Linked DNA regions of Saccharomyces cerevisiae S288C. Changing the gene in region 2 together with the main gene of any one other region gives a genetic interaction. Each region holds a gene or a part of one and is shown on either strand. Other genes may lie near its edges.

Region 1 (3,149 bases), on a different chromosome or scaffold from region 2:
AAATCGTATTTGTCTGAAGCCGTGATAACAACTCCTCTTGGAATTGGTCAACTACATTCACTATGGAATCAGCGGGTAAAATCAAGCTTTCTAATTCCCGAGCTAGAGTGCTTTCAATTGTCATGTTCTGAACCTCCTTTTGTTAACTTTTTCTTTACTTGCTTATATGTGAAAGTTCGAGGGGTGGACGTTTATTTTTCTTTCTGGCTTACATTCTTGTGTTTATAATGATAACCGATATACTCAGTTAACTTCCCCGGTGTTCAGTATCCCTGAATAAAATTTTTTGCTATCTGGCGCTAACAATACCTGGCAAAAAAAAAAAAAACATATAAACAAAAAAAAAAAAAAAAAAAATTAACCCAACGAAGGGAACATGACTTCTTTTAGAGAGCCGAGTGATAAGGCCAGTTGTCGTAAAAGTAAATAAATAAAATCAAAAAAAGCAAATGTGAGAAATAGCTAACATTAGCAATATCGCAGATATATTTGAGTATGGCTCATCTATCATCTGTTAGTCTTTGAATAGTTTCCTTAATTTCATTTGCGGATCTTTCCATTTCAATATTTTTGTACTCTAAATGGCGCTCTTTCTTCTTCATCCACGTTTCAGCATTGAGAATGGAGTCACCACATCTTTCCACGTCTATTTGAAAAGCGGATTCACACCAAAGACGTTGTTGCTGTTATTAAATTTGCATTATTAGTAAAAGAACGTAGTAAAATTGAGATGGCACAGGATGCCTAGTTTCGACCTATACTTACTTTTGCTAGCCTTTCCATTTTTTCATATATTTCGTCCATGTCTTTTGTATATTGCTCAATAATGTTTACAGGAACAGTACAAAACAAATCCCAATCCATCTTTTCCTGTTGTTGTTTGGACATCATCCCATCTTGACTGGAGAGGTCTTTGTACGATTCCCGGATCAAATGAGTGATTTCATTAATTTTCTTGAGTACATCATTTTCCAGGATATGGTTTTGGAAGGTTTCCTGTGGATTGTTGATTTGCCATTCGGCGGCTAATTTGAAAAGACTTGGTATATTGTTGGTCACGTCCGGACTTTTTAATGAGTTGGTTCTTTCCAAGTTATTATCCTGGTCGTTCTCAGATGATTGCCTAGGGACTTCCGTAGTATCACTCATGGTTATAGTTCCGCTTTTCTCTTCTTCGTTGCTTAATGATGTTTAGTTCTGAAATAACGATTTTTTAAGCGCTTGGCAATTTCACAAGAAAAAGGTGAAAAAAGAAAAATAAGATTAAACGATGAATGCGATTTTTTGTTTCTGTTATTATTATTATATAATTAAAAACTAGACAAATATAGTATGCATATGCATTTTGAATGATGGGTGAAAGAATTCAAAACTGTAATGCTGACGAAGGCTTGATAACCCTTTGCATACTTTCTTCACTGTCGTTGCTTGACCGGAATCTTATGTCCTGCAATTCGAATTCCTCTCTAGTAGCAAATGGTTCGTGTTTGCCGCCATTGCTTATATTTGCGGTGGGATTTCCATGGTCTAAACTGGTGTTAGCATCATTTTCACTATTTAAGTCAACATCAGATGTTTTTCTTATTGTTGCCATAGTATCACTGTTTCTCATCAGTTCAGCCTCGCCCGAAGTAGACTGTCGTTGCGGATAACGTTGACTGTAAGAAGTTTCATCGTCTAGATCTGCATCAGTAAATACACCGGCTTGGTAGCCTAAGAATTTATCATCGATTCCACCTCCATAGGACGTGCCATTATCGGAAATACACCATTCTAAGCCAGACCAAGCTAAGCATGACACAGAAATCAAACCTGCAAAACACCACAGAAGCGCAAACCATGTAACTCCAAGATGGTAAGAAAACCCGAAGGCCTCTAATTCTGTATTAATTCTAGACTGAATAGTGTAGTTAACCCAGGCAAGGCTTATGCTACTTATCAGGCCCCCAATGAAAACAACTAGCGATAGTAGAGAGTTGATATGAACAAGTGCCCTTTCTTTGAGGGCGTTCATAAACCTTCCCTTTATGTAGTAGTACCATATCATGAAAAATAACATACACACCTGGAAACTAATAACTGCATAGAGTAAATGTAACACGTTGGCCTTTTTATGTTTTAAACTCCTCATGTAGGTCGTGTATGCAGAACTTTCTGCCTGTTGTGAACCGATTTTGTTGTATGCATAATCTAAAATGATATCTAAACCCAAGCTTTCTAAAACCTCACGATAATCAAAAAGATAGTCCGTTCCTATGCTACTGCAGGTACTCTTAGTAGTCGAATTCTTTACGCTATGCATATTTCCTTCAGAGTCGAATACTTCCACCATGGTATATGTTGAATCGCACCTCCCATAAAGCGACACTGTGATGTACTGAGGAACATTCTTTATCTGACTTTCGGTGTAAGCAGTCAATATATACAGTTCGGATGTTGTTAAGCCTACACCGTTATTTTCTTCTGTAGATGTCGACTGCTCCATAGACTCTCTCAACACGGTAAATAAACCCGTCGTAATATCAGCAGAGTAAGTATCCAGTCGTGACATGTACAATGTTCTTGGCGAAGAAAGGGGTCCGACAGTCAACGCCAACCCGAAAGAGATTATGAGTAATGTCGTCCCTAATCTTAGCCACTGTACCACTTTCTCAAGGGCTGTAAGGTTCTGGAATGGCCTGGCTATTGTATCTCGTATTCTTGACATCACCATTTATTTTCGATCCATTAGATATGCAAGGGTATTCGCAATGACTGATACACAAAGAAATGGTGTAAATGAAACTAAGTAGAGAGTTGACAGTGTTAAGCAAACAACGAATCCAGGGGAACAAAGTATTCGGGACGTTTGTTTATGCGGCGTCCAAAAGATGTATTTAAAGTTAACCATATTATGTATCAATCTAAATAAAGAAATAATTGTAAATTTTCATCGCATCAGTAATATGACCGCGAAAACGCTATTCTTTCCAAAAAAGTTAAAATGAACATAGTATGAAAAAGAAAAACACATAAGCAGCCCTTTCATCACCTTCCTTACAGGGGTTTAAGAAAGTTGTTTTGTTCTAACAATTGGATTAGCTAAAATGGCTAAAACATTGAAAGATTTGGACGGTTGGCAAGTTATCATTACAGATGATCAGGGGAGG
Region 2 (11,138 bases):
GGTTTTACGGCATTTCTATAGGACAATTTCTATCATGTTTCAAACGTGTCTTCATTAAGAAATCTAGGGAAACAAGAGCAGCTAGGACACGGGTAGATGAAATTCTTTGGCTATTATATCAAGAAGTATATTGTCAATTCTCCACCGCTCTTGACAAAAAATTTAAAATGATTATGGCTATGACGATGTTTTGTTTGTATAAATTCGACATTGAAAGTGAACAATATAAAGAGGCAGTTCTAACTATGATTGGAGTTCTCTCTGAAAGTAGCGATGGCGTACCAAAACTAACCGTAGATACAAATAATGATTTGCGGTACTTATGGGACTATGTTACAACCAAATCGTATATATCTGCGTTGAACTGGTTCAAAAATGAGTTTTTTGTTGATGAGTGGAATATCGCGGATGTGGTAGCCAATTCCGAGAACAACTATTTTACAATGGCAAGCGAGCGAGATGTTGATGGCACATTCAAATTAATCGAATTGGCGAAAGCCTCGAAGGAATCGTTAAAAATCATCCCGCTAGGGTCTATAGAAAATCTAAACTATGCTCAAGAGGAAATATCAAAATCTAAGATAGAAGGTGGTTGGATATTATTACAAAACATACAAATGTCGCTATCATGGGTGAAAACGTATCTGCACAAGCATGTTGAGGAGACAAAGGCGGCAGAAGAACATGAGAAATTCAAAATGTTCATGACATGCCATTTGACTGGTGATAAACTACCTGCCCCATTGCTACAAAGAACTGATAGATTTGTGTATGAGGATATCCCAGGTATACTAGATACCGTCAAAGATCTATGGGGTTCTCAATTTTTCACTGGTAAAATTTCAGGAGTATGGAGCGTGTATTGTACCTTCCTATTGTCATGGTTTCATGCCTTGATCACTGCCAGGACCCGATTGGTTCCTCATGGGTTTTCCAAGAAGTATTACTTTAATGATTGCGACTTTCAATTTGCCTCAGTGTATTTAGAGAATGTATTAGCCACCAATTCTACCAACAACATTCCTTGGGCACAAGTGCGAGATCACATAGCTACGATCGTATACGGAGGAAAGATCGATGAAGAGAAAGACCTTGAAGTGGTCGCTAAACTTTGTGCGCACGTATTCTGCGGCTCGGACAATTTGCAGATCGTTCCTGGGGTACGAATCCCACAGCCTCTTCTTCAACAAAGTGAAGAAGAGGAACGGGCAAGGCTTACTGCCATACTGTCTAATACGATTGAGCCTGCAGATTCACTCAGTTCATGGCTTCAATTGCCAAGGGAATCTATTTTGAATTACGAACGTCTTCAGGCTAAAGAGGTGGCTAGCTCAACTGAACAACTTCTTCAAGAAATGTAGCCTTTTCAGGTACGCGTGTCTTGCTTGTCCGCGGTTTTCTCAGTGGACGTGCCTATTCTGGGTTCCTCTTGTTTGATGAGACTCTGATATCTACAATCCAAAAAAATCGGTTGTAGGAAGATGGCGTGCTTCTAATTAAAGTAACGTGGGGACTCTTATTTAGATACTTCCTAACTACGAGCACGTACGTCTAGAATTCATGTTATATAACATAATGATTTTTCCTTATTTTCTTAGTTTTTATCAGCCTTGCCTTGGCTTCCTTCTCAACATCTAGTTGAATTGATAACATGACAAAAAGAAGTTAGGCAGTGGTAGTCTTCAAAAAAATATACAAAATAGCAAGCCTGTAAAAGAATTTAATTATGACCATTATTCAGACGGTTACTGAATTGGGTGTTACCGAGGACACCATTAAGGTTCAGATGGCTCCTTCCGGCGGCAAACACCTATTGGCAGATCCCGGTAATCATCCAGCGGAGCATTTTGAGAGCCAGATGTCGTGGCTAAGGTTTCAAACAAGGCAGTATCTAACTAGATTCACAGACAACCAATCAGATTTCGTACATTCTTTACAAAAAAAGCACAGAACGCCTTTTAGAGACGTTTATTTCAAATACACTTCGCTTATGGGTTCCCACATGTTTTATGTTATCGTGCTTCCCATGCCTGTGTGGCTTGGATACCGCGATTTAACACGGGACATGATCTACGTTCTTGGTTATTCAATTTATTTGAGTGGCTACTTAAAGGATTATTGGTGCCTACCAAGGCCAAAATCACCGCCAGTTGACAGAATCACACTAAGTGAATACACTACGAAAGAATATGGTGCACCCAGTTCACATTCTGCTAACGCTACTGCGGTAAGTCTATTATTCTTTTGGAGAATATGTTTATCTGACACACTGGTATGGCCAACAAAGCTTCTTTTACTGAGTCTGGTGATATTTTACTACTTAACCCTGGTTTTTGGTAGAGTTTACTGCGGTATGCATGGTATGCTGGATTTATTTAGCGGCGCCGCAGTTGGAGCTATCTGTTTTTTTATAAGAATCTGGGTGGTGCATGCTTTACGAAATTTCCAGATTGGTGAACATCTCTGGTTTCCCCTTTTGAGTGTAGCATGGGGCTTGTTTATTCTGTTTAACCACGTCAGGCCCATTGATGAATGTCCTTGTTTCGAAGATAGCGTAGCGTTCATTGGCGTAGTCAGTGGGCTGGATTGCAGCGACTGGTTAACCGAAAGATACGGATGGAACCTTGTATGTAGTAGGTACGCATCATGTGGTTCTAAGGTGTTCTTGAGGCCTCTGGTAGGTGTCGCTTCTGTGATTGTTTGGAAAGACGTCATTAGCAAGACAGCTGTCTACACGCTGTTAATTAAACTACTCAGATTTCACGATGATAGAAGCGAAAAGGTTCATTTCCATAACGAGACAAGTGAAGAAGAAGAGTGTTTATTGTACAGCGGTGTTTCCAAAGTGGAAATCGTCGGAAGGTTTCTCATATACGCAGGTATACCTACAACCGTCTTTTTGCTATGCCCAGTTTTTTTCACTTGGACAAACTTAAGGTAGACTCTCGTATGTATGCATTTAGTGACTTATACATATATATTGTATCTACATAACACATCATTGAAATTCACCCCGATGAGTACATATTTGGAATTCAGCATTTTTTTTTTCTCGCTTTTGATAGCCAGCCCATCTATGGTGCTTACTAATGTATAGAGAGGATATAACAATGAAAAATCAAGATTTCAGGCATGAGTCAAGACTTTAGCTCTTTTATATACCTTCAGGATGTTCGTACCATGCGTCGCAGGCCCTAGATCGGCGTTTTGGGTTTTACACATGCATGTTTGCCGTGGTTCACCCTCTTTTAACCCACAGGAATCGCTACTTTGACACCCCCGATCGTGTCTCTTTTCGGTATTTTGGCACCCTTTCTTGAATGAGAGCATGGCGAAGACTGAAAGGCAAGAACACCCTGCTATCTTTTGCCTACCATTGGCGAACGTCATCTTATCTAAGTAGTAAGCTGTATATAAAGATATTTGGAGGTTTTATTGGAATCTCATAGAATTTTCACTTTATCAGAGGTTTATTGACGAAGACTTTCGTGAGAAGTACAAAGTGAAGAAGTAAAAAACTCAACCGAAATATCAGTTAATATTATGAATACTTCAGAACTGTCAATAGCTGAGGAAATCGACTACGAAGCTCTTCCATCACATGCTCCGCTACATTCCCAGTTACTGGCAGGAGCATTTGCAGGTATAATGGAGCATTCTTTGATGTTTCCAATAGATGCTCTGAAAACCCGAGTGCAGGCTGCAGGATTGAATAAAGCTGCCTCTACAGGGATGATATCTCAGATATCCAAAATATCTACAATGGAAGGTTCGATGGCTTTATGGAAGGGTGTTCAATCGGTAATACTGGGGGCAGGGCCTGCGCATGCAGTATATTTTGGTACATACGAGTTTTGCAAAGCTCGCCTGATAAGCCCTGAAGATATGCAAACTCATCAACCAATGAAGACCGCACTGAGTGGTACCATTGCTACCATTGCTGCGGATGCATTGATGAACCCCTTTGACACCGTTAAACAAAGACTACAATTGGATACTAATCTAAGAGTTTGGAATGTTACTAAGCAAATATATCAAAATGAAGGCTTTGCAGCATTTTACTACTCCTATCCCACAACATTGGCCATGAATATCCCATTTGCAGCGTTCAATTTCATGATATATGAATCTGCCAGCAAATTCTTCAACCCACAAAATTCCTACAATCCATTGATTCATTGTCTTTGCGGTGGGATAAGTGGTGCAACATGTGCTGCGTTAACTACACCGTTGGATTGCATAAAGACTGTATTACAGGTTAGAGGCAGCGAAACTGTCTCCATCGAAATAATGAAGGATGCGAACACTTTTGGTAGAGCCTCAAGAGCCATACTGGAGGTTCATGGTTGGAAGGGGTTTTGGCGAGGTTTGAAACCAAGGATAGTGGCTAATATACCAGCCACTGCCATTTCTTGGACTGCATATGAATGTGCTAAGCATTTTTTAATGAAAAATTGATGTTTTTTCCCCTTTTCGAGGTCAACTTTTTTTGACAACTTATAAAAGGCAAGGCCAAAATGCATTGGTGGTGGTGCTGTTGCTGCTGCTGCCACTTTTGTTGCTGCAAAAGACAAGTCCAATGGTAATAATAGAAAAATAATAATAATGGTGATATCGTCCAACTCCCACTCTGCATATATAGCCAATCCTCCGGCAAAAAATTACAGTAGCATTTATTTCATTTTATTAGAATAAGCATCCAAGTTACAATAATTGAAAAAAAAGCATTGCTTGTAGATGTTGTTTTATTTTGTATATAACCGAAAGCGCAGTAACTATGTATATACGTACATTTAACGACTCATTTAACAAGCCATTGATGACCTACTTTGAACATCTCTTCTTAAATCATTCATTGATCTACTATATCGATGGCCCATCGTGTAGTCGTGAACAACCGGATAATTTGGATCCTCAGGAAAAGTTCTCTGACCAGCAATATCATCTTCCCATGATTCCTCTATTGATTCCGGAACAAGGTTGTTATCTATACTCCCATATGCCACCCAATAACTATTTCTTCCATTATCAGTAAATCTTAGCCCATGCTTTAGTCTTTCCATAGTCGCACCGGATTGTTGTCTAGTGCTTAATAGATCCATGGCTTCAGGATCGAAGTTCCTATAATTATAGTACAAGGGACCAGCAAACAAAGTCTGTTTAAAATCCCATATTAGATCACCGCAACCAAGAAAATCTTTCAAAGCGTAAATGAATTTCATCCTGGCCCCATAAGGTATGCTAAATGCTGTGTATTTGTTCCAAGGGAAAGCTACTGCATGCAAGATGGCGAAAGGCACCATCTCTATACACAGGAGCCCATTCTTGTACACATATCCAGAGGTTCGATCTTGGTTTCCCGTACCCAACTTTCCAGTAACCACTAGACCCTGGATTATGATGCTCTGCCAATAAGAGGCAAAAATAATCAATTTGACACATAAAAATTTCAACCATGGTTTATAAGGAGTTAATTCCGGATAGAGACACTTCCAAAATAGTGCTAAACTATACAGTGACCAAGTCACTGAAATATTATAAAAAACGTTCAAAAATATTTCGAATTTGGGTAGCTTCCATGCACTGCATATCAATGTACCAAAACAATAAAATGGTTTGAACCAAACATACTGTAATATGCCTTTTTTGACAAAAAGAAAATCAAAAGGATCAGATAAGTCTATCGGTTTGCAAATTTTACCTATTAGCGGTATCGGATGTCTTGTGGGGGCGTGATTTAAGCTTAAAACAGTAATGATGTTCCTCTCGCCTCCTAGTAGTAGTGTTAAAAATGTGAAAAAAGTGTAAATAACGAATGCTTCATAAAATTCTCTGATAGGATCGACATAAAATTGAGCTGCTTCAGGCTTAATTATGCCACTTGCGCATGACACACTAAAAATGGGCACGAGCAATAGTATCCGTATGGATAGTCTTTGTTCATATGGTTTACGGTAATTTAATAAGTGTCTAGTTATGGTGTAAAAAGATATTATGGTAGCTATAATAGATGAATACACGCATGGCCAGTACAACCACCAACAAAGTAGTTTGTTTTCCATAACAATTATGTTTCTATACTTTTGTGATTGTACTGTCGCAATTCACTTTTCACTCAAACCTTTGCTTAGGTCGTAACTTGGCAGATGCTTCTAGTGGACCTGTTGATGGCTTTGGTTGGTTATTATTATTATTATTATTCTGATCTGAAAGTGGTTTAGATCTCGTTTTCTGCCTTTTTTCGTAGGGGACAAAATGCAATTCAATTGTGAAAAATACAATAAGTAAAAAGAGGGAAAAAAAATGAACTAAAATTTTTCTAGAATAGTCAGAAATCAAAAGTATATTACGGATAGGATTCGTTGTGCTTGTTGAATCGTAGTGGTACACCTTTTAGGGTCTTAATCTTTCTTATTTTTCTTTTATATTTCGTTAAAGAATAATAAACTTCGGAGATAATACATATAATACTGAGAGAAAATTACGTTGGCTCTTATGTAGGTAAAGAGGGGTAAACTTGATTTTAATGCTTCCCCCAAAACTTTGTTGCTATTTTTTTCAGTTTGTGGGATCTCTTTTTGACGTAAGTAGTCATTGGATCCTCACCAACTTTGGCTAACAACTTACCCTTAGCTTTCATATCTTGTAAACGATCAATTTGTTCCAGTTTGTCACTTGGCAGCATGATGGCACGATCCAAAGTGTATGGTAAACCTCTATTTCTTCCTCTTATTAGCATGGCAATTATGACTAGCTTCGATAATACGGTGAACTGGGCAGATAGTGATGTGTTGGTGTTTGGGTAACCCAATGACAAACCCACTGTACCATAAGCGCTAACAACTTCAAACAATATAGCAAAGACATTGAAATCAGGTTTATTAACGTCTTCGATTTTTCTGCCCTCGCATATGCATATTATAAATAATCCAAGGAATAGGTACCATAAATCAAAAGAGAGTTGCCTCCTCAAATGAGCACCAACAAACGATTTTGGGGACTGTTTCTTCGGCTTGGACTTTGTAGATACAGTGTCTCGCTCTTCGGATTCGCCATCATGGTCTGTTTCCTTTATATCGTCTTCGTGGGTGATATTTTCGTCATCTTGTCCACTATCGTATAGTCCCAACGATTGCTCCTCATAAACATTCGTTCTTCTAATGGAAATCGCCAGCGGCAGGACCGAAACGTACATCATTAGCATATAAGACACCTGAATGGACGGGTGTAATTTACTTAAGTCAACAACGTTGAATCCAGCAGTTCTTGTGCATACAGACTGGAAGAGGCCCATGAGAGCTCGATAACCTTTAGCAACCTGCCTTACTACAGCGGAGTTGAAATCCAGAATTATGAAAAGAATCCAATCCGTAGCGTTTAAGACGACTAAAGTTGTAAACAGCCACCATGTGGGGCCGCTGGGGAACAGCAACGTAAAACACCTGCGCGGATGATCCAAGAGAAACCCAAGACTTTCCTTAAACTGAGATAGGTCTCTCGAGGTCTTGAACATGATCCAAATGATAAATCGTAACATAATTGGGAAGCCTGTATTGCCTATGATGATGAAGAACATCATGAAAATCAGCGGATACGGCGCAGTATCAAAGGAAACCATTGAATCAGCGGTCAAAGACAGACCCAAGTTGCTGAATGCACTCATTGCAGTGAAAAACCCCCACCAGGTTGGAGAAACTCCATTTCGTCTAATAATCTCTGAGTAGTGGTGCCTCGTACAGGCCCATGGAACGATGGTCACAAACGCCAAAATGTTGAATCCGATGTAGTATACCATGAGAATGCAGCACAGCAATCTCAAAGCACGATATTCGACACCGCCGAGTTCCTCCTTTTGTTGCTTTGTGAGTCCAATGAAGACGGAGTTTCTGCCAAAGGTTGGCTGCCACGATAGATAGTTGGTGCTCATTGTTCTGGTGAAGGGGTGGCCTATATCACCTTCACGTCGTTTTGGTTTGGGCGGGTGCGCTTGGAACTGTAAATTCAAAGACTCTTGCGGTGAAAAGCTCATCTCCTCATCAACAAAAGATGAAGGCGCCGACTTGGCCAAGTTTCTATGATTTTCAACTACTTGGCCTGAGGTTTTAGGACTCGGTGAAGCAGTATACGTTGGGATGTTACATGATTGCGTTCTAGATATTTTTTTCTTCTTGGTGACCATATATTTGTGAGGAGCACCGTCAAAGTAGTCATGGTCACCTTCATCTCTCCGCAAGCCAAGCAATTTCTGGAAACTTTTCGTCTGGGCTAGCTTGTTCAATTCCTGAGAAGATGGCAGGACAGAATGGCGTTTCAGTGAGCAGTGGGGGGCTCTTCTCTCATGACGTTCCTGCACAATGAAAGCGGGTCCATTGGTCTCGCTCGAAAAAGAATCCGTGGAGTTTGCGTTGCTCTTCTCTTGTTGTTTTTGTAGCATCATTATCGATTTGTAAATGTCTCTTGGGTCAACGTCTGAGGGTTGGCGCTTACTTGAGAAGTTTGGAGGCGAGCTTTGCGTGTCACTGGATTCCTCCTTAGAGGAGGAAACATTCAACGGTGAGATTGAGGACAATGCGGACGTGTCAGGAGAGTCCATCGGCACATCTGAAGCGGATTGTCGTGGGTCTTCTCTGGAAACAAACTTCCCACGGAACAGGTTGTCCTTGAAACTCCTACTTCGAGCGGCATTGCCACTGCTGCCCGATAGTTCCCTTTGTTGCAACGTCATGGTCCTTCTTAGTTTAAAATTCTGTTTGGAGATATCCCTAATGTTGTCGAAGTACCTTTCAAACCAATACAGCCTGACAAAGGCCAAAAACCCATGAATAAGTATAGGCGTGGACAGCAATGTAATGACGTACACCACTATCTGCTGGTACAGGTTGAAATCGTTAGTGCTCTTGGTGGCCAGCCCGCCCTGTGTAGACGCTCCAGCAGCCAGAAATAGCACATCGATGAACGCCGTGTTCTTGCACGGATATAACAGAATGGACCCGATAATCGACAGCGTGATCAGGTAGATATAGTGCACCACGATGAAGTTGGGGAAAACGTATTTAGCAATGGGTCTGCATGATTTTAAGAACCCGGAAATGAAGTCTCTTAGCCGATGGCCCCATGATTTCTTGTGCACCAACCGTAACTGGAAGGGCAGTGCCAACGAAGCCCTGGATGACGTCCTCTTAGCTGTTGGCATGAGTGGTTCTTACAGCCTCTTATCGTCGGTGAATAGTACAAAATAGCCTCTTTTCTCATCATCTGAAACCTAGTTATTCCAATATCATTTCTCTTTTTCAGCCGCACGGCCGAGGGGATTAGAAACGAAAATTCACATCTCATCCTATTCTTCGCAGGAGATCAAAAGTGAAAGAGAGAAACGGGAAACAACCATCTGAGCATGGCAGCTTGCATCAAATTATCAATCATCGTGTGATGTACCATGGCCTATTCAACGGCGGTACGCTTGTACTACAGGGCGCTTTCAGCGCATGCCGGGCACTCCCTTCTTTCTTCCGTCGTCTTGCATCTCTCTAATCCCGTCGCTATGCTCTGATATAACCGTTGCCAAAGTGTCAAGCTGTTGTGAAATTGTGCTGGAGGCATTGATGGTTCTTGAACTCTTCCTCTTTTTAGTCTGGCTTTAGCTTGATTGGGCACGGGCACTCAATGGACGGGGTATCCACCCAGCTTGGAAAGGGGCATATAAAACCAAAAGAGAACGTTAAGAAAAGTGCAAATGAAAATAACAGACCGGGAGATCGCAAACGCAAACGCAATAAATGTCGTTTTGGAAAACATTGCAGAGACAGCCACGTACCATCTCGTTGTTTACCAATGACATCGCGTCCAATATCAAGTCGCAGAAATGCCTGCAGTTGCTGAAGGGAGACGTCTCTCATCGATTCGACGTGGAAATCGCCAACCGCTTTCCCACGTGGGACCAGCTGCAATACATGAGAACTTCGTGCCCGCAAGGCCCAGTTTCGTTGCAAAGGCAGATTCCAAAGCTGGATTCAGTGCTCAAATACAAGCACACAGACCCGACGTTCGGGATGGACCTGCAGAAGTGTGTCCAGAGGGGACTTTGGAATCCAAAGGAGGCGCTTTGGGTCGACTGGGAAAACAAGTTGGTGGGAAATGAGCCCGCAGACATTGACAAGTACATCATTCAGCGCAAATAACACCTATATACCACTATATTGAACACATACATATTTTTATAACAATGGGCTATATCTTTTTTGTATTACCCGCGTAATTGGGAAAATTTTTCCTTTTAAATAGCAGCGTTTGGGATCAAAAATGGCAGTTTGATGGTAGATTAGGAGGATTTAGTGAGCCCAGTGGGACCAAGAGCAAAGCGCAAGATCATGTCAGACCCTATCAGAACGAAACCCAAGTCGTCGATGCAAATCGACAACGCCCCTACGCCTCACAATACCCCAGCATCGGTTCTGAATCCGAGCTATTTGAAAAACGGCAACCCAGTTAGGGCCCAGGCACAGGAGCAGGATGACAAGATCGGCACCATCAACGAGGAGGACATCTTGGCTAACCAACCCCTGTTGTTACAGTCCATCCAGGACAGACTTGGCTCGCTGGTGGGCCAGGACAGCGGGTATGTGGGGGGTCTTCCCAAGAACGTTAAGGAAAAGCTGCTGAGCTTGAAGACTTTACAAAGCGAGCTATTCGAAGTTGAAAAGGAATTTCAGGTGGAGATGTTTGAGCTAGAGAACAAGTTTCTGCAGAAGTACAAGCCCATTTGGGAGCAGCGGTCCAGGATCATTTCAGGACAAGAGCAACCCAAGCCGGAACAGATCGCAAAGGGCCAAGAGATTGTGGAGTCACTCAATGAGACGGAGTTGTTGGTGGACGAAGAAGAGAAGGCCCAAAATGATTCCGAGGAGGAACAGGTGAAGGGAATTCCCTCATTCTGGCTAACCGCATTAGAGAACTTGCCCATCGTTTGCGACACGATCACTGACCGCGATGCGGAAGTTCTGGAGTACCTGCAAGATATTGGTCTGGAATACTTGACGGATGGTAGACCCGGTTTCAAGCTGTTGTTCAGATTTGATTCTTCCGCCAACCCATTCTTCACCAACGACATTCTGTGCAAGACCTACTTCTACCAGAAGGAG

Evidence for each region. A genetic interaction does not mean that the proteins touch.
Region 1: mutations in YSR3 (region 2) and GMC2 together harm fitness more than expected from each alone (negative genetic interaction), as found in Saccharomyces cerevisiae (2 studies listed by BioGRID).

The regions. Positions count from the first base shown.
Region 1 is NC_001144.5:1,022,189-1,025,337, reverse strand, and holds GMC2 (Gmc2p), read right to left. Parts: upstream 1,150-3,149; coding exon 766-1,149; intron 684-765; coding exon 501-683; downstream 1-500. Other genes in the region: NGK1 (hexokinase), read right to left, coding at 1-124; ECM7 (Ecm7p), read right to left, coding at 1,367-2,713; chromatin-silencing protein SIR3, read left to right, coding at 3,087-3,149. UniProt on the Saccharomyces cerevisiae protein: Probable transcriptional activator involved in meiotic prophase and synaptonemal complex (SC) assembly.
Region 2 is NC_001143.9:525,870-537,007, reverse strand, and holds YSR3 (sphinganine kinase YSR3), read left to right. Parts: upstream 1-1,726; coding exon 1,727-2,941; downstream 2,942-11,138. Other genes in the region: DYN1 (dynein heavy chain), read left to right, coding at 1-1,361; MRS4 (Fe(2+) transporter), read left to right, coding at 3,544-4,458; HFL1 (Hfl1p), read right to left, coding at 4,806-6,062; TRK2 (Trk2p), read right to left, coding at 6,524-9,193; FMP46 (putative redox protein), read left to right, coding at 9,777-10,178; histone chaperone NAP1, read left to right, coding at 10,368-11,138. UniProt on the Saccharomyces cerevisiae protein: Dihydrosphingosine 1-phosphate phosphatase required for efficient ceramide synthesis from exogenous sphingoid bases. Involved in endocytosis and calcium-mediated signaling.